7 linked regions of the Rattus norvegicus genome follow. The protein of the gene in region 1 purifies or fractionates together with the protein of each later gene. This does not show direct contact. Links are inferred from orthologs where the notes say so. Each region holds a gene or a part of one and is shown in the gene's direction. Other genes may lie near its edges.

Evidence for each region.
Region 2: the proteins of Smarce1 (region 1) and Pbrm1 purify together in Homo sapiens (affinity purification with western blotting; 9 studies listed by BioGRID and IntAct, counting the BioPlex papers as one, with this or other methods). This does not show direct contact. The link is inferred for Rattus norvegicus from reciprocal best matches to the Homo sapiens genes SMARCE1 and PBRM1.
Region 3: the proteins of Smarce1 (region 1) and Bcl7b purify together in Homo sapiens (affinity purification with mass spectrometry; 3 studies listed by BioGRID and IntAct, counting the BioPlex papers as one, with this or other methods). This does not show direct contact. The link is inferred for Rattus norvegicus from reciprocal best matches to the Homo sapiens genes SMARCE1 and BCL7B.
Region 4: the proteins of Smarce1 (region 1) and Actl6a purify together in Homo sapiens (affinity purification with mass spectrometry; 9 studies listed by BioGRID and IntAct, with this or other methods). This does not show direct contact. The link is inferred for Rattus norvegicus from reciprocal best matches to the Homo sapiens genes SMARCE1 and ACTL6A.
Region 5: the proteins of Smarce1 (region 1) and Ss18 purify together in Homo sapiens (affinity purification with mass spectrometry; 4 studies listed by BioGRID and IntAct, counting the BioPlex papers as one, with this or other methods). This does not show direct contact. The link is inferred for Rattus norvegicus from reciprocal best matches to the Homo sapiens genes SMARCE1 and SS18.
Region 6: the proteins of Smarce1 (region 1) and Chd4 purify together in Homo sapiens (affinity purification with western blotting; 3 studies listed by BioGRID, with this or other methods). This does not show direct contact. The link is inferred for Rattus norvegicus from reciprocal best matches to the Homo sapiens genes SMARCE1 and CHD4.
Region 7: the proteins of Smarce1 (region 1) and Dpf2 purify together in Homo sapiens (affinity purification with mass spectrometry; 9 studies listed by BioGRID and IntAct, counting the BioPlex papers as one, with this or other methods). This does not show direct contact. The link is inferred for Rattus norvegicus from reciprocal best matches to the Homo sapiens genes SMARCE1 and DPF2.

What each region holds. Positions count from the first base shown.
Region 1 is NC_086028.1:84,654,968-84,659,173, reverse strand, and holds the end of Smarce1 (SWI/SNF-related matrix-associated actin-dependent regulator of chromatin subfamily E member 1), read left to right. Parts: coding exon 1-168; intron 169-2,551; coding exon 2,552-2,760; 3' UTR 2,761-3,706; downstream 3,707-4,206. UniProt on the Homo sapiens protein: Involved in transcriptional activation and repression of select genes by chromatin remodeling (alteration of DNA-nucleosome topology).
Region 2 is NC_086034.1:6,268,433-6,271,932, forward strand, and holds part of Pbrm1 (polybromo 1), read left to right. Parts: coding exon 1-618; intron 619-3,500. UniProt on the Homo sapiens protein: Involved in transcriptional activation and repression of select genes by chromatin remodeling (alteration of DNA-nucleosome topology). Required for the stability of the SWI/SNF chromatin remodeling complex SWI/SNF-B (PBAF).
Region 3 is NC_086030.1:27,143,832-27,148,129, reverse strand, and holds the start of Bcl7b (B-cell CLL/lymphoma 7 protein family member B), read left to right. Parts: upstream 1-1,498; 5' UTR 1,499-1,605; coding exon 1,606-1,697; intron 1,698-3,690; coding exon 3,691-3,766; intron 3,767-4,298. UniProt on the Homo sapiens protein: Positive regulator of apoptosis. Plays a role in the Wnt signaling pathway, negatively regulating the expression of Wnt signaling components CTNNB1 and HMGA1.
Region 4 is NC_086020.1:117,419,231-117,423,530, forward strand, and holds the start of Actl6a (actin-like protein 6A), read left to right. Parts: upstream 1-1,500; 5' UTR 1,501-1,574; coding exon 1,575-1,599; exon of another isoform or gene 1,600-1,772; intron 1,773-1,930; exon of another isoform or gene 1,931-2,054; intron 2,055-4,231; coding exon 4,232-4,300.
Region 5 is NC_086036.1:6,061,414-6,064,913, reverse strand, and holds part of Ss18 (protein SSXT), read left to right. Parts: intron 1-2,977; coding exon 2,978-3,145; intron 3,146-3,500. UniProt on the Homo sapiens protein: Appears to function synergistically with RBM14 as a transcriptional coactivator. Isoform 1 and isoform 2 function in nuclear receptor coactivation. Isoform 1 and isoform 2 function in general transcriptional coactivation.
Region 6 is NC_086022.1:159,591,318-159,594,817, forward strand, and holds part of Chd4 (chromodomain-helicase-DNA-binding protein 4), read left to right. Parts: coding exon 1-65; intron 66-199; coding exon 200-439; intron 440-1,057; exon of another isoform or gene 1,058-2,460; coding exon 2,461-2,664; exon of another isoform or gene 2,665-2,766; coding exon 2,767-2,972; exon of another isoform or gene 2,973-3,470; coding exon 3,471-3,500. UniProt on the Homo sapiens protein: ATP-dependent chromatin-remodeling factor that binds and distorts nucleosomal DNA. Acts as a component of the histone deacetylase NuRD complex which participates in the remodeling of chromatin.
Region 7 is NC_086019.1:212,625,490-212,629,757, reverse strand, and holds the start of Dpf2 (zinc finger protein ubi-d4), read left to right. Parts: upstream 1-1,468; 5' UTR 1,469-1,519; coding exon 1,520-1,551; intron 1,552-1,859; exon of another isoform or gene 1,860-2,011; intron 2,012-4,268. UniProt on the Homo sapiens protein: Plays an active role in transcriptional regulation by binding modified histones H3 and H4. Is a negative regulator of myeloid differentiation of hematopoietic progenitor cells. Might also have a role in the development and maturation of lymphoid cells.

The sequences.
Region 1 (4,206 bases):
CAGAGATCGCACAGGCGGAGGAGCAGGCCCGCAAAAGGCAGGAGGAGAGGGAGAAGGAGGCAGCCGAGCAAGCTGAGCGCAGCCAGGGCAGCATCGCCCCCGAGGAAGAGCAAGTGGCGAACAAAGCCGAGGAGAAGAAGGATGAGGAGAACATCCCGATGGAGACAGGTAACCGCCTCCCCAACCCAGGAAGTGTGAGGGCCCTGACAGCCGGCATTCTGCCATTCCCTGTCTCTCTCAGAGCAGCATGGTGGCATCAGTCTTGCCGTGTGAGCTCTTGGTAGTACTCAAGTGGGGGTGGCTCTGGAGACGGGCGTGCAGGGCCCTGTCTGTTTGCCCATTGCTGACACTGACTTTGCTGAGCTTTCTCTCATCTCCTCATTTGAACAGCTACTTGCTGCTGGATTTGACATAGGATTAATAGGCAATAATACTTTAACCTTTATGGCTACTATTTACATAAGATGTGTCATGGGCCCGAGATTTGTCTTAGTCCTTAGATGGCAAAGTTTGACTAGAAGATGGCCAGACTCACTTGTTGTGAGTCACACTACATGTGACAGCTTTGAGGTGACATGAGAGAGTGTGTGTGTGTGTGTGTGTGCGTGTGGGTGTGGGTGTGCGTGTGTGTGGGTGTAGTTTGGGACTTGAAACAGACTTCCTGGCCAACAGCCTTTAGTGATGACCGTCTAAGCCTTACATGTTGGTGCCAACCGACCTCAGCCTACTGTGCTTTTTTTTTTTTTAAGATGTATTTATTGTATTCATATGAGTACACTGTAGCTGTCTTAGACACACCAGAAGAGGGCATCAGATCCCATTACAGATGGTTGTGAGCCACCATGTGGTTGCTGGGAATTGAACTCAGGTCCTCTGGAAGAGCAGTCAGGGTTCTCAACCACTGGGCCGTCTCTCCAGCCGGAACAATGCTTTTTGATGTTTTGGTTTTCCTGAATAAAGGCATTCCTCATGGTTTGGATTTTTTTTTTTTTTTTTTAAAGAAAAGAAAGGTAAAACTTAGATCAAATACTGATGAACTTGGTTGTTCTTGAAGTTTTCGAGATCACCTTGCCTCTCAGCACGATTGACCCTGCCTAGTGGATAAACAGGAGTAAGCCAAAAGTAGTCAGGGGACACTAGCACTTGCTGGGAAAAGGGACATGGGCATACTCTGTACTCAACAGTAATTCCTGGCAGTGTTTAAGGAAACGTCAGTATCTCTGCCAGGCATTTACACAGTATTTAACTCAGTGGGTTTCCTTTCCAGACAGGCTGGTTTTAGTCTTCATTGTCTGGGCCTCTTTCTGGTTTTGTGAACCCGGTTTTGGTTTTTGGTTTTGTTTTGTTATTTTTTTACCATAAATTGGGCGAACCAGAGTGTGGTTCTTTGCTCATCTTGCAACCAAACCATGTCTTCAGTCTTGAGTCTGTTTTGCCCCAAATGAGGTTTGTCTCCCTCTGACGGCGTCTGGGTGTCTGGGATGTTTACTGAGATGTCTGTCTGCTAGCTTAAGGAAAGAAAACGGAGGGAGAACTGAAGGGAAAAAATTAAAGATATTAGAACCTTGTGTTCAGTTTCCTAAAGGAAGTGGCCAGCACCACTTTAAACAGAGCATCTGCTTCTTTCTGTGCCTTCATTTTGTGTATTTCAGGCAGGATCTTGCTCTACTGTGTTGTCTAGGCTGGCCTCAGACTCCGGAGTGCAATCTTCTGGTGCCACCACCTCTGGCTTCTGGCTTCCTTTTAATGTTACATTTAAACCAAGTCTCCAAAAAAATATTTACATGTTATAAGATTTTAAAAATTAATACTCTAGGCTAGACAGAAAGCTTAGTAGACGGACCTGAGCGCATATGGGAAAAGCAGGTTACATCCTCAGGATCCAGTACAGGAGCTAGAGATCAGCAGATTCCTAGGGCTCATTGCCTGCCAACCTGGCCTACCTGGTTACTCCCAGGTCAGTGAGAGATCCTAAAGTGGACAGTTCTTGAGGAACAGAACACTTGTGGTTCTCCTCTGACATGCGCACACATACAAGACTCTCGCTGTCTTACATTCTTTTATTGTATCAAATCTTTGAAATCTAGCATGTATTTTATATACTTCTTTTTTATTTATTTTTATTTTATTTACATTAGTGACTTGACTTCATGTATGTCTGTGTGAGGGTATCAATCCAGATCCCCTGGAACAGGAGTTACAGATAGTTGTGAGCTGCCATATGGGTGCTGGAAACTGAACCCCAGGTCCTCTATGGAAGAGCACCCAGTGCTTTTAACCTTTGAACCGTCTCTCCAGCCCCTCTCCCAAAAGCTCAATTCTCACCACAAAAGTGTTTGATATGTATTTAAATTTCTTAATACTGTAGGTAAAAATGTAGATTTTCGCACCCTGAGTTGTCTCAGATATTCATGAATATTCCTGAGTCACAAGACTGGCTCATTTCACTGCTTGCCACGTGTGCCTAGTGGCGGTCAGACTGGACAGGTCATTTAATGCCGTCAGCAGAGTTAGAGTGAACGGAACTGATGGTGCAAATGTGTGGTTACAGAGGAGACACACCTTGAAGACACTGCGGAGAACCAGCAGAATGGTGAAGAAGGCACATCTACTCCTGAGGACAAGGAGAGTGGGCAGGAGGGGGTTGACAGCATGGAGGTGGAAGGGACCAGTGACAGTAACACCGGCTCAGAGAGCAACAGCGCAACGGTGGAGGAGCCGCCCACGGACCCTGTGCCAGAAGACGAGAAGAAGGAATAAATGTTGCCTTGTTTTATGTGACCTAAAACTTTTTTTAAATGAAAAAAAAAATGTGTTTTTTTTGGTTTTAATGGTGTTATGTGGTCTGTGTATTATTTCCATTGATACCGTGAAGGTCTTCAATAGCATAGCCTAATGCCATCTGCTCACCTTTCTTAGCTCTCAACTTCTGAAACCTCAGAACTGAGATCAGTCGAGAGACCCATCTCTTTGAGAACCACTTGGATGCTGCAGAATCTGCTCTTCCAAATGCCTTCCTTCAGCTCACTTGGGTGCTCATCAAAGCCATAGCTTTAACCCCTCCCAGACCAACTACAGCTCTCCGAGTCCCCTGTCGTGTGTATTTATACAGAGTGCCCTCTTTATCTCTGATATCAGACACCAGGCATCCTCTTACAGGGTAGGGTGTAGCCTGAAACCAGCGAAACACAGATGAGACTGTGCAGAGATGGCCCTGGAGGGGCCGGGGGAGTAGTTACTGCTGTGGATTCTCATTAGGTGAGCCCTGCACGTGCATATCCATATCTGTGCAGTTATTATGGGATGTGTTCTGGGAAATTCATCCTTATTGTACAGGGGGAAAAGAAATGTGTTTTTACCAGATTGGTTTTCCAAAGACATGATAGACAGCAGAGCCTAAGGAATGGGATATTCTTATAATGGACTGCAGACTTCAAAGTGATTGGCCTATTGCAAAAGGAAAACAGGAACTACGTTCATCCACTTGAGCATACTTCATAGTGATGAAAACCTCAAGGCTCGAGATCCCATAGATCAGAGCCGAACCTACTTTTTTGATAAGCCCTTTAGTGGTGTTAGAGACTAGATATGAGATAGTTTGTAGTGCGTGCTCTCTGATATCTAGAATAGATTTTTACTGAATAGTGGTATATATGATGTTATATGTTTCTTAAAGGCCCAAACATAATAAAGAAATTAAGACAAAGGTCTCAGTGTTTTTATTGCACTGTAAAAAATCGACATAATTTGGTCCCTATGATACCAGGACATCATGGAATGACCCACAATCATGAAATGTCTGTCACTCATAGGAAGCTTGCCTCACGAACTGTCAGTATTAACAGGACTGTGAAGGAATCTGTTTGGTGTGGCTAACGAGTGAATATAGCCTGTGCTCATGGGGGAACCGTACCTGCACTCCCCACTTAGTGACTTACACAGCAACAAGCAATTTCCTGAGAGGAAGCTTGATGTGTGGGGTCATCCTTAGGCCAGTTTTTCCGTGGTTCTGCCCTTCCTTGAAAATCAAACAATTTTTTTTTTCAAGACAGGATTTCTCAGTGTAGCCCTGACTATCCTGGCAAAAAAACTTATCTGTGAACAGGTCTGTTTGGGGTTTTGAGCATGGAGAGCTAAAAATTCAAAAAATGTCTCATCTTAAATAAATTGGATAACCACAGATAAAATCCTCTGGAAGGTGAGATG
Region 2 (3,500 bases), on another chromosome or scaffold:
GAAATCCAAGTACATGACTCCAATGCAGCAGAAGCTGAACGAAGTGTATGAAGCCGTGAAGAACTATACTGACAAGAGGGGCCGCCGCCTCAGTGCTATATTTCTAAGACTCCCCTCCAGGTCAGAGCTGCCTGACTACTATCTGACCATTAAAAAGCCCATGGACATGGAAAAAATCCGAAGTCACATGATGGCAAACAAGTACCAAGATATCGATTCTATGGTGGAGGACTTCGTGATGATGTTTAACAATGCCTGTACCTACAATGAGCCAGAATCTTTGATCTACAAAGATGCCCTTGTCCTCCATAAAGTCCTCCTTGAAACTCGGAGAGACCTGGAGGGAGACGAGGATTCTCATGTCCCTAACGTGACCCTGCTGATTCAAGAACTTATCCATAATCTCTTTGTGTCCGTCATGAGTCATCAGGATGATGAAGGAAGATGTTACAGTGACTCCTTAGCAGAAATTCCTGCTGTGGATCCGAACTTTCCCAGCAGACCTCCCCTTACATTTGACATTATTAGGAAGAATGTTGAAAGTAATCGATATCGGCGACTCGATTTATTTCAGGAGCATATGTTTGAAGTATTGGAAAGGGCCAGAAGGATGAATCGGTATGTTTTCCAAGCCATTTCTTTATGATAAATCCTTGTGATTTCTATTACAAAACAGGTAAGGGAGTCATGCTGTGATAGGCATCTCTGTGGTGCATGGTTATAGTAGGTAGCCTTCATCCTGAATTCTTGGTAGGCAAAACATCTGCCTTTTCCTCCCTTTACAGTGTTGGAGGGGTCAAAACTTGTAAAGAGGGAGTCGGACGGTAGTCACTTTTTAACCCCAGCATTCAGGGGGCAGAGGCAGGTAAATAAATGTCTTGAGTTCAAGGACAGCCTGGTCTACAGAGCAAGTTCCAGAACAGCCAAGGCTACACAGAGAAAGTGCGTCTACAAAAAGCAAACAACACCACACTTGTAAAGAGCACATGTACTCTATGAAGTAGAAAGAGCACTACTGGGCTGGAGAGATGGCTCAGTGGTTAAGAGCACTGACTAGTCTTCCTGAGGTCCTGAGTTCAATTCCCACAACCACATGGTAGCTCACAGCCATCTGTAATGGGGTCTGGTGCCCTCGTCTGAAGACAGCCACAGTGTACATATATATAATAAATCTTTAAAAAGAGAAGAAGAAGAGAAGAGCACTACTGAGTGCCAGTGAGGGGGAGGCAGACCTGAAGCACTTGCACACTGGCATAGCCAGAGACCTGAAGTGCAGCCTTCTCAGAAGATGTCTTTAAAGGAACAGTATACAGTTTGTAATAGAAACTAGAGTAGAGGTTTTTTTCTTTGAAAAATATAAGAATGCTTTAAATGAATTAAAGAGCTTAGAATGATTCTTGGAGGATAGACTGGTCTAAAGCCAATCACTTTTTTTAAAACGTACTTATTTTTATGTAATGTGTACTGAGATGTCTTGCCTACATATATGTGTATGCAGCCCGTATAACCAGTGCCCACAGAGGCCAGAGAAGGTGTTTCTTTGGGACGAGAGTTACAGATGGTTCCCTACCATGTGGGTGCTCTGACTTGAACCTGGGTCCTCTGGAAGAACACCAGTGCTCCTTCTCTAGACCCCTCAATCTCTATTTCAATTACTTAAGAAGGGCTTCTGTTGTTTATCTTATTTATCAGCTTAAGAGCTTAATGTAGGACAATAAATGGCTTAAAGAATAAATTTACACTTACTAAAATTCCTTCAACCTTTTGGCCTATGTGTATTTTTGGCACTTACTGAAAGAATACCCAGTGTAATCCAGCAACCACAGTGTAAGTTCTCTATGCTCTTATAGGTGCTCGGTTACATTTAACTTGAAGACAGTAAATCCTGCCTTCTTGTGGCTTACAATGTTGAAGTACTGAGAGCTGGAACTTTGGGCTGTTTAATTCCACCTAGGAGATCTTTGCTCTAGACCTTGAAGGAAAAGTAAATACTAATGACCGCTTTTCCTAGTAACAGCTTTTGTAGAACAGCATAGTAAAGCCCTTCATGAAGATAACCTCTGACGTATCTATGCTTTTCTTTTTTTAAGATTTATTTATTTATTTTGTATAGGAGTACACTGTCACTATCCTCAGACGCACCAGAAGAGGGCATAGGATCCCATTACAGATGGTTGTGAGCCACCATGTGGTTGCTGGGATTTGAACTCAGGACCTCTGGAAGAACAGTCGGTGCTCTTAACCTCTGAGCCATCTCTCCAGCCCGTATCTATGCTTTTCTAGGGAACTGATAATCTTTTCAGTTTTCATGTGAAGAATTGGAGATGTGCACGCAGGAAAGTTCATAATACAACAGCTGCTCGGTGACGTCCTTGGGTTGTCTCCCCTGAGAGCTGTGCTGACAGTCACCATAGACATGAGTAATAAGCACTGTTGAGCTCTGTATTGAAGAGCTTTAAATCTTGTGGTTAGGATAAGACCAATACTTAAGGAAATATGACGTAGCATATTAAAGTTGTGTCAGAAATTTTGTGGGCCAGAGTTTACCCAAAAAGGCACAAAGTCTCATGAGAGGGTTGGAGGATGAATAGAGAGGTTGAATGGTACAAAGAAAGGGAAGGGCTAGGGTGCGAATATTCTGTGTTCCAGGTTTGAGGTGGCTCCTTGATTAGCATGTTAAGAGATGGTTCCTTGTGTAGTACTAGGGAATAGAAATAAAGAGGAAAGGGGAGGTATCTCACAGCCAGATTTTACACCAGGTTTCATTCAGGTAATGTTTGTCGGGTGACTGATAGTTAGTGAACATGCTCTAGAGTCATGGGATGTCGCAGTACTGTCATGATGTCAGTGTCCACTTTGTCTCTCGGTTTAAGAGGTCTTTAAATCCAGAGACACTCTTGTGGTCCCATGCAGTCCACTGAGTCTTCTAAAGAGCATGTGTCTTGTAGATTACAGGAACTCTGTCCGTTGAGAAGTGTGCAGATCTTTTTCTTCCCCCATTGCTGACATGAGCTTCTGCTTTTGAGGGCTGGAAGATGTAGCCCACGACACATGTGTATGAGGCAGGAGTCCATAGAGTTTACCTCATGCCCAGAGCTCTATTGAGAAATAGAGCAGGGGGCTGCAACCATAGCTCAGCAGTTGAGAGGGCTAACTACTCTTTCTGAAGGTCTAGGTGTGGTTACCAGCACCCACATGCTGGTTCATAACCATCTGTAATTCCATTTTCAGGGCACCTGACACCCTCTTCTACCTTCCATAGGCACTAGGCATGTAAGTGATGCAAAGATATATGTGCAGGGAAAACACCCATTCACCTAAATTTTTTAAATGTTTAAGACATATAATAGAAGCCATTTTAATTTTTGAAAATAAAAATAGTATTGGAACTTCTTGTGGCATAAGAATTAATAAAAAGGCCTGATGTTTAGTGCATGGAGTTCTTGCCATGCAGTCCCTGAGTTCAGATCCCTGCAGCAAGCATGCTGGCACAAGCCTGT
Region 3 (4,298 bases), on another chromosome or scaffold:
GGCTTCGAACTTTCAACGTAGTCAAGGATGATCCTGAACTCTTGATTTTCCTAGAACTGCAAGTAAAATTCAGTGTTCATGGGGCTGGAGAGATGACTCAGCGGTTAAGAGCGCTGACTGCTCTTCCAGAGGTCCTGAGTTCAAGTCACAGCAACCACATGGTGGCTCACGACCATCTGTAATGGGATCTGATGCCCTCTTCTGGTGTGTCTGAGAACAGCTACAGTTTACTCATATAAATAAAATAAATAAATCTTTAAAAAAATTCAATGTTCATTTAAATGAATACCACCATGGGAGCATGTAATGTCAGCTTTGAGTCACAAGTGCCCAGGACACTTGATGCCTACTATTTGTTTTGTCTGTTAGCACTGCTTTCACTCACCCGATTCTTTTCTTTTTGTTCTCTCCCCTCCCATCCCAACCCCCAGCCCTGGCTGTCCTGGAACTCACTCTGTAGACCAGGCTGGCCTTGAACTCAGAGATCCACCTGCTTCTGCCTCCAGCATGCTGGGATTGAATGTGTTCATCATAATCCCTGATTCAGAAATTCTTTCAAAGGAGAAACACTTCTATATCCACAGTACTTGGTCTAATACACAGAACATAAGCCGTGTGTTATCCAGAACTGAATTCCATGGCAGTTGAGTGCTAAGTATGAGCCAGGTACAAAATACTCAGGACAAGCTGCAGTTTGAGCCGGATGTTGAAAAAGTAGTTTATTCAATCAGAAGAAATTTCCAGGTGGGTAGTGAAGAATTGGAAGACGAGAAGTCAAAAAGAAAAAGGTGTGATATTGACTCTGGAACACAGCTATTTAAGCAGTGATGACACAGGTCTCCAGTTACATGAACATGAAAAGCATAAATAATTCTTGAAGGGCCAGGAGTCATAGGGGTTTAAAGGACTTGATGCCAGCCTAAAACTCACTAGGGAGAACCAACTCCCACAAATTATCCTCTGTACCATATATACTTAAAAATTTTCTTCCCAATGGTGCAGTGGCTCACACCTTTGATCGCAGCACTCCAAAGGCTGAGGCAGGCAGATTTCTGAGTTCAAGGTCAGCCTGGTCTACAAAGAGAGTTGCAGTACAGCCAGGGATACACAGAGCCTGTCTCGGAAAACAAAAATGAAACAAAAGTTTCTAGTCAAATGCAGTGGCACACAACACCTGAGAAGCAGAGTCAGGTGGCTCTGAAGTTCGAGGTTGGTCTGGTCTATAGTACAGCAAATTCCAGGAAGCAGTAGATTGGGAAAGTGGTGACTTCGAAATCTCATCCCACCAACATCATTGCGGCCTCGCCTGGCACACACCACGTGCGGGCGACACTAGGTTCGGCCTCCCAGTGAGGTGTCTAAGGGTCTCTTGAGGTGCACAGTAGGGACGCCCCCGGGCGGGTGCGCAAGCGCGCTGAGGCCTCAAGGGCCCAAGGGGCGGGAGGGTGCGCGCGCTCCCCCGCGCACGCGCGCACGGGGGGGGGTGCGAGCGACGGCCGCGGTGACGTGCTGCGGTGGCAGCGGGTGGACGACGACGCGTGAGGCGCGTGATATCCCGCGTCTTGGGAGCAGTGTCCCGGCCCCCAGCCACTCCCCGCCGCCGCCATGTCCGGCCGTTCGGTCCGGGCCGAGACCCGTAGCCGGGCCAAAGATGACATCAAGAAGGTGATGGCGGCCATCGAGAAAGTGCGGAAATGGTGAGGGGCGGGAGTGGGGGGGGTTGCTGACGTGGGTTTGCGGGAAACCCGGCGCGGAGGATCGCCAGACACGTACAGACAGGGTGGGAACCAAGAGGCCGGCCTCTGGGGGGAGGGGGCCGGAGGAAAAAAGCGAAAGGAGGGCGCGCCGGCGTCGGCATGAAGTCAGAGTCCGCGTTCACAGTAGCCAATCAGAAGGACAGTCGGCTCTTAGCCCCTCCCACTAGCTGTCATTAGTCGCTTCCGGCCCGCTCTGCCTGGGGCGGGACCTGGCGCTGCAGTGTTGCACTTCCGCCGGGGACCTCGCGGAAGTGCGGCTTGGCGGCTCCCAGCTGGGTTTCCGCTCCTGCGCATCGCAACTGTCCAGTGATGTCCGTTGTTGCCAAGTCTTATGCGCTATAAGTGGTCGAAATTAAGCGGAAGTTTACAAACGCGGCACTTTTGGAACACAAATCCCTTATATCTGTAGATCTGGGGCCCTTAGCCAGCGCACCCGTTTGCTCTAGGCGCCCAGGGGACTCCGTCTCTGCAAATACTTACTGCAAACCCGGATTTAACGGACAAATGGTCAGGATTTCATTGCATTAAACTGTTCTGAACCAAGTCTTTGAGCCATTCCCCCTCACTTAATGACGAGTAATTTCGTTACTGTTTCGTTCATTTTGTTTTTTTTTGGTTCTTTTTTTCGGAGCTGGGGAACGAACCCAGGACCTTGCGCTTCCTAGGCAAGCGCTCTACCACTGAGCTAAATCCCCAACCCCTGTTTCGTTTATTTAACCGGATCTCCCCGAGTACTACAGTCTGGCTTTACACTTGCAGTGATCCTTCTGCCTCAGTTTCCCCAGCGGCTAAGAGGCCGCTAGAGTGATTTTTTTGTTTGTTTTGTTTGTTTGTTTTGAATCAGTGTCTTAAAAACCTTTGGCTGTTTTGGAACTCACTTTGTAGACTAGGCTGGCCTTGAACTAAAGATCCGCCTTTCTCTGCTTCCCAGGTGCTGGGTTATGGCATGCCTCTGCTTCCTATGTAATTCTCAAGTGTCTCCATCCCCTTTTATTTTTTACTGATAAGGAAAAGTTTGGAGGCTGGAAAATGGTTTAGTGGTTAAAAGCCCTGGGCTGTTCTTGCAGAGGACCTGCATTCAATTCCTGCCACCACATGGCAGCTAACAAACACCTGTACTTCAGTCCCACACACACACAGGAGAAATGCTGAATGAGTTGAGGGTACACTTGGTTCGGTTGGGTTTAGAGACCTGGGAGGCCTTCATAGTTTGCCTTAGGGTGATCTTCAGTAAAAGCCACTCAACGTTTTCTTACTTTGCTAGTACGTTGGTAAATCTGACATTTCTACCTCAGGAGGAACAAGGAAGAATGTTGAGGGAGGGGTCAGTTTTGTTTGTATGCTGGGGATGGAGCCCATAGCCTTGGGCAGGCTAGACTAGTGCCTCCCACTGTTGTTCCTGGCCAGAGAAAAAAGGCAGCTAGCTACAAAGCTGTAGTGTTTCTCTGTGAGTAATCTCAGTGACCCAGCATGCAATTGCTGCCTGTTCCTTTCTGGTGATTGTTCTTCCTTTGGAGGAACCTTAAATGGAAAATGAACAAAACTAGTTTAGAGAGACTTGGAAATTATCTCCACCATCCTCCCTGACTTCTGTCTGCGGGGGATCAAAGTCAGGACCAGTGCATGCTAATAAGCCTGTTAAGACTGAGCCACAATCAGTGTCTTTCGTGCCTTCCTCCAACCCCAATTTGTGGCAGTCCTCCTGCCTCAGCCTCCAAGTGCTAAAATTACAAGAATGCAAGTGAAAGCCTCCCCACTCCCCAACCCCTGGCTTTCATCCCTACTCTGGTTACATCCTCTTATACAAACCCACCTTCAGGTGTAATTTGATGGCATTCGAGATCAAAGGAACAATCTCTTGAGACACAAAAGCAGAGTTAGTAAACAAACAAGAAATGTGATTTATTAATCCTAATTAATGCTCATCTTCTAGGGAGAAGAAATGGGTGACTGTGGGTGACACGTCCCTGAGGATATTCAAATGGGTGCCTGTGACAGATAGCAAGGAGGTAAGTAGGGGGTGGGCAACAGTTAAAGAAACCACTGTCTTAGCTTCCATTTCTCGCCTCTTTCAGTTATAAAGGAAGTTCTTTTCTGAAAAGACCTCAGGCTCCCTCGGCCCGGACTATGCAAAGTGCTCCTTTGTCGTTTGCTCCTGTATCCTCTCTTTACTTAGACAGTAGCTTCAGCCCCGTTCCTGTTGATGGGTCATTTCTCTAATGGTGAAGTGAGCTGATGCAAGCCAGATTAGATTATATATAGGCAGGTTTATTAGGAAGCTGCTCTCCGGGGAGTTCGTTGACCCCAAGGACAGAGGCCAGAGAAGTCACAATGGGGAGAGAAAAGGGTGGAGAGAGAGACACACACACAGACACACCGACACACAGACAGACAGACAGATAGACAAAGTCTGGATTATATAGAAAAGACTCTCTTGGGGAAGGGCAGCCCACTGGGCTGGAAAGTTTAGGGTATGCCAGGTAGGAACTAAGGAATCCTGGGAGAGCCAGATGTAAAATATGCTCCTCGGTCCCCTGTCTG
Region 4 (4,300 bases), on another chromosome or scaffold:
TACAGCTCAACCAGGCACATAGCTTCAGTCACAGTGGCAAATAAGCCTGGCTATGCTCCAATAAAGCAGCTTAATGTTTCTGACACGGGAGTATCATAGCATTCTTAAAAACATCTTTGAATCATTCAAAATGTACTAATACCCAAGGTGGCACGTGCCTATAACTCCAGTACTCAGGAGGCAGAGGCAGGAGGATTACAGCTTGGAGACTAGCCTGGCCTATACCATGAGACCTTGTCTCAAAAAACCCAAACCTGAACCATCATTGTGAGCTCAAAGCACAGTGTCAAGTGAACAGGAAAGCGGTTTCTTACTTGCATTATTCCTGACCCTATGACAGGTCAATTTCTGCCACCTGGATGGCATGGAAATGGATGAAATTTTATTCAACCCTTCTAAGGTTGCTAGTAACGCTTGCACTAGACACTTCAATTTAAGCACTGCTACCAGTTACAGAGAGAGCTACATTATACTTGAGTTTTGGACCTTTTGTTATGTAGATCAAGCTAACTAAAGCCCAGAGAAGCAGAGGGACAAATTGTTGCACTTATTGTTTTGGGGACAGTGTTCTGGACACTGATAGAAACATAGTCTAAGAACAGTAGACACAGATTGGGGATATATTTACAAACGGGTGTTTCTCTGAATGGTGCTCCACTTGCTTGGTGAATGATTTTCACAGAAATGAAAGAAACCAAAGTAATGATTTTTAAATGCTATCTGAATCTAGCTGGGAAAACATATGATCTCTTATTATAATAGCCATTTTAAAAAATGATGAATCCGATTATTATATCTGATTTGCCGATTACTTCAAAGTGTAGTACACATTTCTTTTTCAAGTATAAATGTTAGTTGAAGTTTTTTCTGCTTAAAAAAAAAATCCAAATCCATCACAATCCCAGACCAGGAATCTCTTCGAGGTAACTAACTCAAATTCCAGATTCCTTGCAGATACTCTCCTTTCTCTGCCTAAGTTCCCATGGCTCCTGGGGAGCGGCCACACTTCAGAAGCAAGAGCGGTTGATGGCCCAAGGCAAGCCCCTTCCCAGTACCTAATTAACTCACTTTAGAAACCCGGTCCACTCCCGCACAAAGCTCCTCCCACTCGCCCGCCCACCTAAAAACTCCTCCCACTCCATTTGCGCGCGAAGCACAGTTCGCACCCTCTTGCGAAGCAGCCCCTCCCACAATCCCGTCTGCGTGTAGAAGCCCCACCCACTTCTCACCCGCCCGCGAAGCTCCGCCCCCTCCTGCCCGTTCCCCAACACCTTCCCTTCTTCCGTCGCTTCTCCCCATGGCTGCCTTCCATTGGTCAAGACGGCTAAACCGCGCAGGGATACAGCAGCACCACATTCTGATTGGCTAAAGACTAAGCCGGGCCTCTTGTCATTGGCTGACAAGAGAAACCAGCAAGAGTGGCTGTGCAGCGGGCGTGCGGCCGCTGCTTTGTTGCCGGAGGGGGCGGCGTTGGAAGTTGCAGGCTTACGGGGTCGGCATTCTTGGGGAGTCGAGTCGCGCCGCTGTTATCTTTCGCCCAGTAGTCTTCGGCCAGTCCCCGCCCAACAGTAGCTATGAGCGGCGGCGTGTACGGCGGAGGTGAGTGAGCGCAGAGGCGCCTCGGGGCGTGCGGGCCGGAACGACCGGCCCGGTCCCTGGTCTCTTCCGTTTCCCTCCGGTCCTCGGCGGGCCCTTCCGGTCTTTGGCCGGTGCTTCCGGTCCCCGTTTGGGCCATGGCCTCTCCTTCTCTTCGGACCCAGGGCCCGCGCTCAGTAGGTTTCCGGCTTGTACTGTTGCTGGTTCCGAGATGGCCTCAAGGAAGGGCCTTGGCGTGTCTTACACCTGGAGCTCCAGGACGGGCTGGACTCTGTTGGCAGTCACCTGGCACTCCGGGTCCCTCGCTGTACCGGTTCCGCCGCGGGTTAGTCTCGGGAAGCTCGCGGAGGTTCCGGGCCCTCCGGGTGGGCACTGGTTCTGAGTCGCGCCCGGTGTTGCGGCTTCCGACTGGACATCGTTCCAGGTGTGCCTGGTCCCTAGATGAGCGGAGCGTTGAGGTACAGGCTGCTGTTCCCCTGGCCAACTGGCCAGGAGTCTTTTTATAAATTGGCGATAACGAAATCAAGGCTTTCAAGCACTGGTTTTGTTTTATTTTAAAAGTAGTTAACTAGTTAGAGACTCCTCGCTAGGGTGGATGCCGACAGGAGATGGTGCTGCTATCCTGCACGTTAACGAAGAAGAAAGCATTGGGAAGAGTTAAACAACCAGCTCAAAGTTAAAAGACTTTCTTTGCAAATTGGGAGCAAATAGCTTCTGGATTGAGGCAAAGGCATTCCTTTCTCGGCCGTGTACCTGTAACATGCACCCCTAATGAGTTAAATAGTATACTCACACTATAAATTTATAAATGTATCGAGTCAGTAGATCTGTGCCCACACATTTTAACTGCTGTGTACTGTTTTGTAAGAACGAACTGTAGCAGTTTCTCTAACTGTAGTCATTTCCCTAGCAAGAAGTGTGACAAGAGTAACTACTACTATTAGCTAATATTTATCGGGCTTATTGCTTACCAGCACTATTTTAAGTATACATTAAAACATTGAAGACATTTAGTCATAGTATCCAATGAGATAAGTATTAAATACTCTTTACTGACCAAACTGGGGCAAAGAGGTTAGTAAATTACACATTTCACATAGTGTATTTGTCCCTTGTCTGTTGCCGTGATTAAAAAACAAAACAAAAATGACCAAGGCAACTTCTAGAAGGAAGAGTTTACTTTAGCTTATGATTCCAGAGGGATAAGAGTCCAGTATGAGGGAGGCATGGCATCTAGCAGCAGGCATGGTGGCAGGAGCAGGAGTCTAGGCTCACATATCCAACCTCAAGCATGAAGCTGAGAGCAAACTGAAAATGGTGGGGGCTTTAAACTCAAAGCCTGTCCCCAGTGACAGCTTCCTACATCAGGCCCTCATCTTCTAAATATCCACAGATTGCACTAAACTGGGGCCCAGATGTTTAGATATCAGAGTCTAGGAGACATTTTCATTCAAACAGTTGCACATGCATCTCCTTTTAAAATATGAATTTCTCTTAAACTGGGTATGTCTAAACTAAATAGCTCTGTGTTTCTCTTTGGGTGCCTCTTTGTAGCTAGCACTAAACTGCATAGAGTGGCTGTGGTGATTTGTAGCTTTAACTGGAGAATAGAACTTTTCTTAAGGTTGAGTAATGTAGGTAAGTAGGATTAGTGTTTTAAATTTTTTGGGAGGGGACCCATTGACAAACTAGCACTTTATCCTAGGAGGCCTGCTGTTTGGGGTGAAGTACTTGGAAAATATAAATGGAGGCTTTTCTCTGAATTAGACTGAAAAAAATTGCCAGCTTTTTTTCTCATCACTAAACTATCCCCTAATGTCTGGAATGTGTGAGTTAAATAGTACCTTCATTAAATGCTTTTTACTTGGCCTGTATAAATTACATTCTAAGCTCTGATGTCCCAGTTTGGATGCTGGCTTATAGTTTCCTGAAGGCTGGAGGCTGTGAGCTTGGTCCTTCCTCCCTGATAGGCAGTTCTAGCTCTCTGCCTCATTTCAGCTGTTACCACAGCTCCCAACAGCCATCCCCACAAAAATCCTAGGTTCTGTTAGCAGTTTCTTGTTTTCTCAGTTCAAGGATTATGAGGACATGTCCCTTTGTTCATCCTTCTGTACCTGGATGATAGATGTTTATAACTAGTCCCTTTAGTAAGGAACTACTACCTGCTGTCAGTGTACCATATCTTTCCTGACTAAACCTCCGCTGATGAACAGTGTATGACTCACCATATTTTAATTAAATAAATCTTGAAGGTATATTTAATACTAGGTTCAAGCCAGACATTGTGGTGCATACTTTTAATCCCACTTAAGAGTCAGAGACAGGAACTTTGCGACAAGTAAGATCACATAGAGGTTGATTATATCAAAACAACAATCGTAAAAACTAGATTCTAGCTAATTATGTGTTATGTAATGGAGTTTTACAAAGTTTTAAATATTCTCATTTTATATACATAAAATATGTTCTTTACTTTGTTGAGACAAGAGTTTCTCTGTGTAGTTCCAGAATTAGCTCTGTAGACCAGTCTGGCCTGGAACTCATAGATCTGTCTGCCTCTGCCTCCCTTACTGGGATTAAAGACATCTGTAGTTCTCTTTTAATCACTTCTGTAATTCTCTTTTAATCTCTTCAGATGAAGTTGGCGCTCTTGTTTTTGACATTGGATCATATACAGTGAGGGCTGGCTATGCTGGTGAGGACT
Region 5 (3,500 bases), on another chromosome or scaffold:
CTTGCCAGTCTACGTTATTCTGGGGTATTCTGCCATCCGTAGAATTGGCGGCCTTTCACTGAACTGCTCTGTTCCCGTTAGTGTGTTAAGGAAAACCATATGCATCCTAGATAATCAGAGTTGACGTTTAAACTTCGTGGATAAGCCTTCAAGGGCGTGTGCAGAGTGCCGGGTGTGTGCTGCCTTCCTCTCCTGTTTTCTCTGGATTTACGTTGATCCTGAGTGCTGTGAGGCCTTGGGGGCAGTGACAGAATTCAGGAAGGTAGTGACTGAGCTGCAGGCAGATAGAGATAGGGCTCAGATGGCACGGTTGTGTGGGCTGTGCCCTGTGCTGGAATTTCCTCTCTCCTGGAAGGACTTTGAAGTGAGATAGAATTTTGTTGTGATAGATATTTGAGAGCCCCTCCCCTAGCGATGCCTTTCATTTTGGCTCCAATATTCAGATACAGCCTAACTTCTAAGTCAGGAGTCCTTTGGGCAGTTTTTGAAAATAAAAATAAGGCAAACCTTTCATTTCTTGAAAATGAAATTTAAAAGGCCCAGTCAGGTTGACAATAAATTATGAGTAACAGCATTAAAATGTTTTTATCACATAGAGTTCATGACTAGAGTGATAAACTCAGTGGTTAAGATCACCCGTTCTTCTGGAGGACCCGAGTTCGGCTCCCAGTACCCACATGGCAATTCATGACTGTCTGTAACTAGGGGATCCTGTGGGCTCCTCCGACTCTACATGTGCACGGCTCACACCCATACTGCAGCCACTACACCCAATGCTTCTGAGATGTGCAGGTGAAAAGGACAGGCACAGAGGTGCACTTTGAACTCGGCTTGACATTTGTAATCTTGCCAGGTACTGTTAGCAAGCTTGCTCTGTGGATTCCCTGGTTGCCAGGGTGCCCTGGGAAGTGCAGGTGACAGCTTGCATTGCAGGTACCTACAGTGCGCCCAGGGTCTGCCTCCTTGCCAGTCTTACTGAGCCGTCTTCCTCCTGCTGTGAAGAATTCATTTCCATGCTGAAGGGCTCCAGGGCTTTGGAGAGCTTCTACATACAGTGATAAAAACTGGAGAGACCCGAGAAGAGTTAGACAAAAGCAGAACACACAGAGGTGCTCAGGGAGACAGCAGCTCTGAAGAAGCTTTTCTTCCCACGGAACAGATGGTCACGTTGCTGAGGAGGTAAAGCTCTGTGCTCACATTGTCCCTGGAAACTTAAGGAAGTGGCTGCTTGGTTTTTAGATGTTTGTTTAAATTAATAGTGAGCCTCTGACTCACTGTGTCATCGTGGCCTGCACAGCTTTCCCTTTTGTACTTTAACTCACCCCCAAGTTTGGCGCTATGTAAGCAGGACTGCAAGACGACACACAGACACTCGAGTCAGCGGGCTGAGAGTGTGGGACTCTGCTCTTTAAGGACCCGGCAGCCCTCGGGGAGCATCTGACACTGCTAGGCGGCCACACAGAATTCGAGGGCCACTGCGGGTCACGTGACAGATCTTCACTGTATGTGCTGCAGCAGTGGTGCTGAACTCTCACCCTGTAGAGTGTACTGAGCCCATGCCTTACTACAGACCTTTTCCTAACTCTCACCCTGTAGAGTGTACCTGTCTCTGAGCCCATGCTTTACTACAGACCTTTTCCTGGTAGTTTTTAGGGTGGGGAGACTGGGAGTAGGAAGTTAGAGGGTGGGCAAGGTGAGAGGATTTTAGTTATTTATTAAGGAGCACCGTGATCCTGGAGGCTGGAAAGATGGTTGAGCTGTTCTTGGAAAGGACCTTGGTTCACTTCTCAGCACCCACATGACAGCTGTCATGTCTGTAACTCCAGCTCTAGGGGATCCAGTGCCCTCTCCTGCCTCTGGGCATACGTACAAATCGTTCACAGATACATACATGCAGGCAAAACACCTGTACACATATGATTAAAACTAAAAAAAAAAAACAAAAAAAAAACAAAAAAATTTCTTTTTTAAGAAAAAGCACTGTAGGGCTGGAGAGATGGCTCAGGGGTTAAGAGCACTGACTCTTCTTCCAGAGGTCCTGAGTTCAAATCCCAGCAACCACATGGTGGCTCACAACCATCTGTAATGAGATCTGATGCCCTCTTCTGATGTGTCTGAAGACAACAACACTGTACTCATACATAAAGTAAATCCTTAAAAAAAGAATGTAAAATAAAAAGATATTTCAAAGAAAAAGAAAAAGCACTATATATTTCTAGTTTGTAAAGCTTATAAAAGGTTTGGGAAATGGAAAGTTTTTTTAATTTTGCATAAAATTGAAGTTTATAAAATTTAACTGATATGTTTATGAAGTGCTTCTGTAGGTTTCTGCTTACCACTATTGCATAAATGTGTACTAAAAGGAATGAGAGTGTAGGGCCGGAGAGATGGTTCAGTGGGTAGAAGTGTTGCTGCTCTTCCAGAGGACATGAGGTCAGTCCCAAGCCTTCACACCACCTGTGACTTCTGCATTCCAGATGCCCTCCCTCCCTGGTCTAGCCTGGGCTCCTGCATGTATGCAGCGTGCATAAGTCATGCAAACTCACACACATACAGAGAATAAGTCTTTATCATCCTCTCTACATACAGAAGGAAACAAACCCAGAAGTGGGTTTCTTCTGTCGGTCTTATTTTCATCGCTTTCCTCATGCTGTGGTAAGATGCTTTTGCCTTGAGAGCCGGTGAGATGATGCGGATAGAAGATGTATATGCCAGAAAGAGCTTGTTTCCATGTTGATTTTTTAAAAATGACTGGAGTGCTCTGGTGGACCTGAGGGTTCCACTGGGGTTTGGTTGTTTTCCTTATTTGCAGATAAATGTGGGCCTGTGAGCTTTGTGCAGACTCATTTATACTTGCAGTCAGTGTCCCTTGTTCGAGTACACACTTTGTGTATTCTGTGGTAAGAGTCTTGTACCTGTCATCGCATGTTGAGCAGCAGTGCCAGAACACCGCGTGATGATGTTTTTCTGTCTTCAGGTCCCATGATGCACCAGCAGCCTCCTTCTCAGCAGTACAGCATGCCACCTGGAGGTGCGCAGCATTACCAAGGACAGCAGGCGCCCATGGGGCTGATGGGTCAAGTTAACCAAGGCAGTCACATGATGGGCCAGAGACAGATGCCTCCCTATAGACCTCCACAACAGGGTGAGAAGCCATCTGGAAAATTCCTTGCTTACTGTAAATGACAGTCATTGAAAGGCTTTAAGTTTTAATGTACTGTTCATCCTGGCTTTTGTTGCACTCCCCTGCCACCCACCAAGGTAGCAGGGTTTAGGGAACCCTGAGGAAGTCCTGAGGCATAGAGGAGCTTCCCAGCACATGGCTTCCTTTTGTCTGGTGTTCTCTAGGGAAATACCACATCAGAAACTTTTCTATCAAATTTACTCATTTACATCAGAAAATGCCCTCTCTCCCTTTTTTAGAAGTTACTAAGTATATGACAAAGAACAAAGCCAATTTTATATCAAAATGCCTTAATACTAATGTAACAAGTAAAAAG
Region 6 (3,500 bases), on another chromosome or scaffold:
ATATGGTGTGCCTGGACCCAGACATGGAGAAGGCCCCCGAGGGCAAGTGGAGCTGCCCACACTGTGTGAGTGCCTGGCTACTGTGGCCTCTGGGTCCCCCTAAGGGCAAAGGTGGGAATAAAAATGGGAGTGTCCTTGGCTGTCTGACTGGGGGTGGGGTGGGGTGGTAATAATCTGAATCTCTGGTTTTTTATTTCAGGAGAAGGAGGGTATCCAGTGGGAAGCTAAGGAGGACAATTCTGAGGGTGAAGAGATTCTGGAAGAAGTTGGGGGAGACCCAGAAGAGGAAGATGACCACCATATGGAATTCTGTCGAGTCTGCAAGGATGGCGGGGAACTACTATGCTGTGACACCTGCCCTTCTTCCTACCATATCCACTGTCTGAACCCCCCGCTGCCAGAGATCCCAAATGGCGAATGGCTCTGTCCCCGCTGTACTGTAAGTGACTCTTCACTGAGGGTGGGAGAGGGGAGCAGTGCCATTTACTAGCACAAGGGTCTGCTCTCTGGTAGGCATTATGAGGCCTAGGTTGGGGAGAGGTCTTTGGAGACATAGAGATTTTCTAGCTGAGACAGGAGAAAGTGCTTAGTCTTGGGCCATCATCTGCCGCGTAAATGCGGTTAACTGAAGAGAAGAACGGTCTCCTCTTAAGCAGGTGAAGCAGTAGAGTCGTAGTCATTCTGTCATTCTGATTGCTGCTGCGATTTTTGGTGTTTTGAACTGATGTCCAGGCTATCCTTAAACTCACTCTATGTATGTAGCTCAGGCTGGCCTTGAGTTTACGGTGATCCTCTTGTCTTGGTGTCCTGCGTGATTAAAGGCAGGAGTATCACACATGATCTTGTCTTTAAAAACTTGTAATTTGGGGGTTGGAGAGATGGCTCAGTGGTTAAGAACAGTTCTGTTTTTGTGTTTGATGTTACAAGACAGAGCCTTTCTGTGAGTCCCAGACTGTCCTGGAACTCGCTATGTATGTAGACCAGGCTGGCCTTGAACGCAGGAAGATCCGCCTGCCTGCTGCACTAAGGATGTCCCCTTCCCATTAGGCCTGTGCTCTTCTTTTTTTTTTTTTTTTTTCCTTTTTCTTTTTTTCGGAGCTGGGGACCGAACCCAGGGCCTTGCACTTCCTAGGCAAGCGCTCTACCACTGAGCTAAATCCCCAACCCCGGCCTGTGCTCTTCTTTAGTTGTCTTGTGTTACTTTTATGTTCTCTGTACATATGTGGTTTTGCTTTATGATCTCCATTTTTATCAGCTTTCCTGTAAAGGAAAGCAGCTCCTTTATTCTTTATATCTGAAAAATTGTATTAAGACACCATGTTTTCTTCATTCTTTTGTTGATGTACACCTAGGTTGGTCCTGTAACTTAGCTCTTACACACAAATGCTGCAACAAACTCATTTGCAGCCCAGGCTGGCCTTGAACTCACTGTTGTACCTCATGTTCCCAAGAATGAGGAGCAAAGCTGAGGTTACCATGCCCAGCTTCACTTGAGCCTGGGTGTCTCACCTTAGCTCTCGGTAGCCATGGCTGCCCCAGAGCCAGCTTACTGCATTCAGCTTGCTCAAGAGAGGGAAGGGTTCAAGTCTCTCTCTCTGTGAATTGTGTGTGCCTAGCTATTCTGGTTTATTGTATAGCTTGCTTCTTGACTCTTTCTAGCTCTGTGACAATATCCAAAGAGGAGAGAAAGTTCTAGTGGTTTTTGCCTAGGGATGATTGTGAGGGTAGATTTTATTTGAGGTGAAGTATTTTATTTATTTTGTTTTCTGGAACTCACTTTGTAGTTTTTCCATCAGAGGCAGGGCAAGCAGTTCTTGGTGAGTGTAAGGTCAGTCTGGTCTATATATTGAATTCCAGGCCAGCCAGGGCTATTAGAGTGAGACTTACCTGAAAAGAAAAAAAGTTCATTCGCGAGTATTGTATGTGTACATGTGTGTTCAGGGCTCCAGGCCTTGGTGTTGGGCCAGACAGCAGCAGTGTTGTACTCCGATACCCACCGTATCACCCTGGACAGATTCTCACTACACCTGGAGCTTAGCTGGCTGGCAGCCAGCAGCAAGCTCTAGTGATCCTTTAGTCTCCCTTCCCATGGCAGTAGGCCGTGTGTGTGTGTGTGTGTGTGTGTGTGTGTGTGTGTGTGTGTGTGTGTGTGTATGTGTGTGTGTGTGTGTGTGTGTGTGTGTGTGTGTGTGTGTGTGTGTGTGTGTGTGTGTATGCGCGCGCGCGCGCATTGGATCCCCTGGAACAATAATTCTTAGCTACAGTGGATGCCAGGTATCTAGTCTGGTTCCTTTGGGAGACCAGCCCTCTCTTCAGATGCTGGCCATTTGACCTCCTGCTGTCGTGTTTGCAGCAAGTGCTCTAACCACCTACCCATAGACACTGATATTTATTGTTCCTGGAGAGTTTTATGCATAGCCCTGTGGTTTGAGTTGAGATTAAGTGGTTTCTATTTAACAGTGTCCAGCTCTTAAGGGCAAAGTGCAGAAGATCCTAATTTGGAAGTGGGGCCAGCCACCATCTCCTACACCAGTGCCTCGGCCTCCAGATGCTGATCCTAATACTCCATCTCCCAAACCCTTGGAGGGGCGGCCAGAGAGGCAGTTCTTTGTGAAATGGCAAGGCATGTCTTACTGGCACTGCTCCTGGGTGTCAGAATTGCAGGTAAGCCTGGGACAAGTTGCATGTATGAGGTGACAGTGCAGAGGTAAGAGCAGGAGGCCGGATGCAGCTCCAGGGTGGCCGCCTTTCTCTTTCTGCTCCCAGTTGGAGCTGCACTGTCAGGTGATGTTCAGAAACTACCAGCGGAAGAATGATATGGATGAGCCGCCTTCTGGGGACTTCGGTGGAGATGAGGAGAAGAGCCGAAAGCGAAAGAACAAGGACCCTAAGTTTGCAGAGATGGAGGAGCGCTTCTATCGCTATGGAATAAAACCGGAGTGGATGATGATCCACCGGATCCTCAACCACAGGTATCCCATGGCTCCCTGGAGGCCATTGACCTACCAGACAGTGTTTCTAAAGGGGCTAAGAGGGGCTGGAGAGATGGCTCAGCGGTTAAGAGCACCCGACTGCTCTTCCAGAGGTCATGAGTTCAATTCCCAGCAACCACATGGTGGCTCACAACCATCTGTAAAGAGATCTGATGCCCTCTTCTGGTGTATCTGAAGACAGCTACAGTGTACTTATATATAATAAATAAATAAATCTTTAAAAAAAAAAATAAAGGGGCTAAGAGAATGGACCTTGCTGTTGACTTACATTCAAGAAACATTCCTCTGAGTACGGCCCACAGGGAGAGTACAGAGTAGAGAGAGTATTGGGTCAAAGATAGGCATCCTTGAGACTGAGTCTATGTGGAGCCTGGCGCATTTGGAATGGTTTTGTTGGTTTTTAAGAGCAAGGCTGACTAGAGAGGTGAGAGAAGTTGCTTTCTGGTTCTGAGGAGTTTTTCTTTATTGACATCATAGTGTGGACAAGAAGGGCCACGTTCACTATTT
Region 7 (4,268 bases), on another chromosome or scaffold:
TGTACTGGGGTTGGGGATTTGGCTCAGTGGTAGAGCGCTTGCCTAGCAAGCGCAAGGCCCTGGGTTCGGTCCCCAGCTCCGAAAAAAAAAAAGAAAAAAAAAAAGCCAGTGTACTGTAGGAACACTTGACATTGTTAGCTGTCCATTAAACACTTGTGTGTACTTTGGGACTTCCTTTTGATTGTGGTATAGTTGAAGGTATGGTGCCTAGACAAGCTAAGGAGGGAAGGTCCTTCTATTTCTAGCTACCTCAGTGTAAGGAGGTGCCTGAGGTCAATGAGTTCAAAGCTTCAGGTTACCACTCTGACACAGGAGTTCCATGTATGGCTGGTGTCTGTCCCAGAACCCAAGGCAATAATGTCCTCTACCTGTGGCTCCTCTAGCTTCAGCTCAGGTCTCGGGTGAGACTGCATGAGTAAGAATGTAAGAAAGGTGCCTCTCTTTTACCCTACCCCACCCCGCCAGGAGAGAAGCTACACCAGCACTGAGGCTGCAGGAAAGTGAGAGAATACAGACTCTGCCAGGGCCTGCCGTTAATACTGCATACAGCTGGTAGCCATGTGTAAGCTTTGGGGATCTGTGTGGTTTCAATATGGTTGGCCCAGGGAGTGGCCTTGTTGGGGGAGGTGTGTCACTGTGGGGGTAGGCTTGGAGAGACCTTCCTCCTAGCTACCTAGAAGCCAGTCTTCTCCTGTTTGTCTTCTGAAGAAGATGTCGAACTCTCAGCTCCTCCAGAGCCATGCCTACCTGAATGCCATGATGATAATGGATTGAACCTCTAAAACTATAAGCCAGCCCCAATTAAATACTGTGCTTTATACGAGTTGCCTTGGTCATAGTATCTCTCCACAGGCGTGGAAACCCTAAGATAGGGTTCCATTGAGCCAGGGTGTCAAGAAGTAGGTCAAAAGAACTGTGGGATCCTGGAGTTGGAGTTACAGACAGTTCTGAGCCTCTATGTAGTGTAAGCTTAGGTTTTTCAAAGCCTACTTTATTTAGGGTTCTTAAATGCTTCAACCTCCCTTTTAGCCCACCGACGAGAGGTAGGGAAAAAGGCAGATTAATAGGCAAAGGGGGTTGCGGACAGAGGTACCTAAAGGACTGGGTACCTCCCTGACCTTTCCAATCCTTCCCTGTGAGTCAATCATGTGTCTAACGGTCAGCTAGGCAGGACACTGTTGCTCCTTCTAGCTCATCTGCCTGGCCTATTCACTTACCTTTCTCACTTTCCAACCAAGCCTTCCTGAGGCTCTACTAAATGGAGGGGAGACAGATCTCCAGAATGAGCTGCAGAGGGCGCATAGTTTTCCAATCGCGCCTGCGCATCGGGATCCCCTAGGCTCCAGGTCGGGTCGTTTTTTTTTTTTTTTTTTAGCGCTCGCCCTCGTGAGCCTGTGCGTGCGCGCACCCTCGGGCTGCGCCTGCGCAGAGGATCGAGGACCGTGTGTCCTGAGAAGGCTTAGCGCCTGCGCGTTGCGGGCTTCGGGGCCTCCCGGCCTGAGGGAGAGGAACTGGGAAGATGGCGGCTGTGGTGGAGAATGTAGTGAAGCTGTGAGTGGTCTTCTTTTTTCTTTTTCTTTTTAAAAATCTCTCCTGTACAGGAAATCTTGTAATGGGGCCTGGGAGTAGAGAGGGAAGTGCGGGAAGAGAAAAGACAGAGAGAAGGACATGCCCGGGAAGTCCTTGCTGTGCGACTGCTGGTAGGGAGGGCAACAGGAGACTCTGGAGAAGGCGCTGGGCTTCTTTTGGAAACTTGTGGAGACCGGGAGGGGGGCACACTAGAGTCCCCGACGAGCGTCCTTCTCGCGGGCCGAGCCCCGAGCGGAGCTGCGGACTGCGAACGAGAGGCTCACGGTCCCTGGCCCCTCAGTCCCGTCGCGCTGAGGCCGGCGGCCCTGGGAGATCGGGGTCCCCTCTCCGCCCACCGCCCTCCCTGGGACTACAGGCTCCGCCGTACCTGCTGGGATCCTAAGATTTAAGCAGCCCGGTGACATTAACCGGGAAATCCGGGGTACACGAAACTAAAACTGTTCTTGGGAAGAATTGTTCCAAGAGCAGATACAGAAGGGAAAGAACTTCTGGGAGTGGGCAACTAGACCGGAACCAGACGGCCTTCTGGTCCGCAGGAGCCCCGAAGTGGGCGTTCTCTGTACCCTAGATGCCATTGTGCGGGTCAGATTTCGAGCAGAGCTGAAGTTAACGGTTGTTGGGAAACACTGGGAACGGGGACTGGCCTGTTAGCCGCTTCCCCCGAGTTAGAGGTGTTTGGGGTTTTGATGAGTCTCCTCCTTCCTTCTTGAAGAAGAATCGAGAGTTTTGGAACGGGGTTAAAAATGCCCGTTGGGCTTAAGAATGGCCTTTTCTTCCTTTAATGGCCATGTTGGGCGTGATGTAAGAATAGAAAAATGGAAGTGTTCAGGTGTCCAGTCAAAGCTTTTGGATTCTGGATGGCAAAGTAATGGTTTAGGAACTATTCTGGAGGACTTTTCGCAGCTTCATCTGTCTTTGTCGTGGGCTGAGCCCCCATAGTCCCAAGAGGCTTTTTTTTTTAAGGTTAAGTTGCTTCTCCCCCGCTGCTTGGAGCCCTTTTCTTCGAGAATGCTTTCCCACCTCCATTAAGCTAAGTGCCTTCTCTTGTGGCTTTTTTTTTTTTTTTTTTTTTTTTTTTACTTGCTTTTGGCTTCATCCTGCTGCCTCTTTCAACCACCCCTCCTCCCAACACTATTATCCTTATGATCTGCCCCCTCCGGCTTCCCCAGCCCTCTTTAGGCTGACATTTCCCTTAATTTAGAAATGAAGCTGTTAATTTAACATTTTTATGGTTCTCCTTCTAGACTCAGCTGTTAGGTCTTTGTTACTCTGCCTTTCTTTGTTGACCTCCCCTATTCCTGGTGGAAGGGGAGTTGTCCTGTGCCCCCACTCCTACCCCACAGGTTTCCTGTGAAAAGAGGAGCCACAGCTTTTACCCTGGAAATCTTACTTTCTAGAAGAACGTGTTGCCTAGGTTTTCAGAATTACATGTTAATGGAGCTCTTCATATTGAAAGATGGTCTTGCGGAGAATGGAGTTGCCAACCCATTGGTGTAGTATTTTAAGTGTTGGTTCCCATTTAAATAGAGCAGTGCTGTTCCTGCCTCTTTAACCAGTCAATGGTTCCTAGTGTCAGCGAGGTACTGAGTTGATTCTTCCCATTTCTAGGTGCAGAAGACTAGACATCACTAACACGTACCTCACAGAACTTTCCCTTTATAGAGAAGACTTTGATTCTCACACCATTCTCACTTTGGAAAGATGCCTTTCTGATACTTTCTTTTTTATTATAGTGTGCTTAAGTCTTCTGGCAGCTGACATCACTCATTGAGGGAAAGACCACTAGTTCATCTTTTTCTTTGATTTTTGCCTTGTGAGAAGACTTTGTCTTAATTTTCTGCTTTTCTCAAATACATTATCATGGTTGACATAGTCTTTAGAGTATAGAGTAAATACTAGTCTAAAAAATAACCATGACTACCAACTAGTTTTTAAAACTTTATATGAGTTATATAAGGCTATCTGTAGAATAACAGAAGCTTGAAATTTTTTGCTACAGAGTCTTGAATTCATGTATTCTCCCCTTTGCTGCTCTCTTCACACACACACGCACACGCACATGGGCACACATACATGTACATAATTTCTTCTGGCCATTTCTCCTACTAGAGCACTTGCTTCACCTTCTAGAATCTTACCTGACCTGCAGGAGCCGATTGGACATTCCAGTCATTCCTCCAGGCCTTCTTCAGCCTCTGTGCTTTGACTTTGCAGTCTTCAGCCCCACTGGGCTGGTCCTTCCTTCCGTTTGACTTCCAGTGTCAGCATCAATTCCATCAGCAGAAACAAAGGAGCTGCTGCAGTCAGCCTTGTTTATCGGTTTTTCCTGTGTGGTAAGGACAAGGCTGCCTCCTAAAGGCGAGCAAATGTGAGCCTGCTCTCTTCTGTGCTGTGCGCTCCAACACATTCATACCTTAATTATAGTTATTACTGCTCACTGAATCAACTCAGGCTGTACTTGTAGTGTTGCTGTGTGTGTGTTTTTATTAAGCTATGCAGTGGTCTCCTGTGACTGCTCAGTGAAAGTCCCTATCAGATCCTACGTTAGTGCTTGTCCATACAGCTTTAGTTGTAGGTATTGGCCACTGAGACTGAGACCTTCTCCCTCTTGCTTTTCATGCCTCCTTATCCCTACTATCTCCATCAGAATCCTGGCAGGCCAGAGATCATCTAATCTA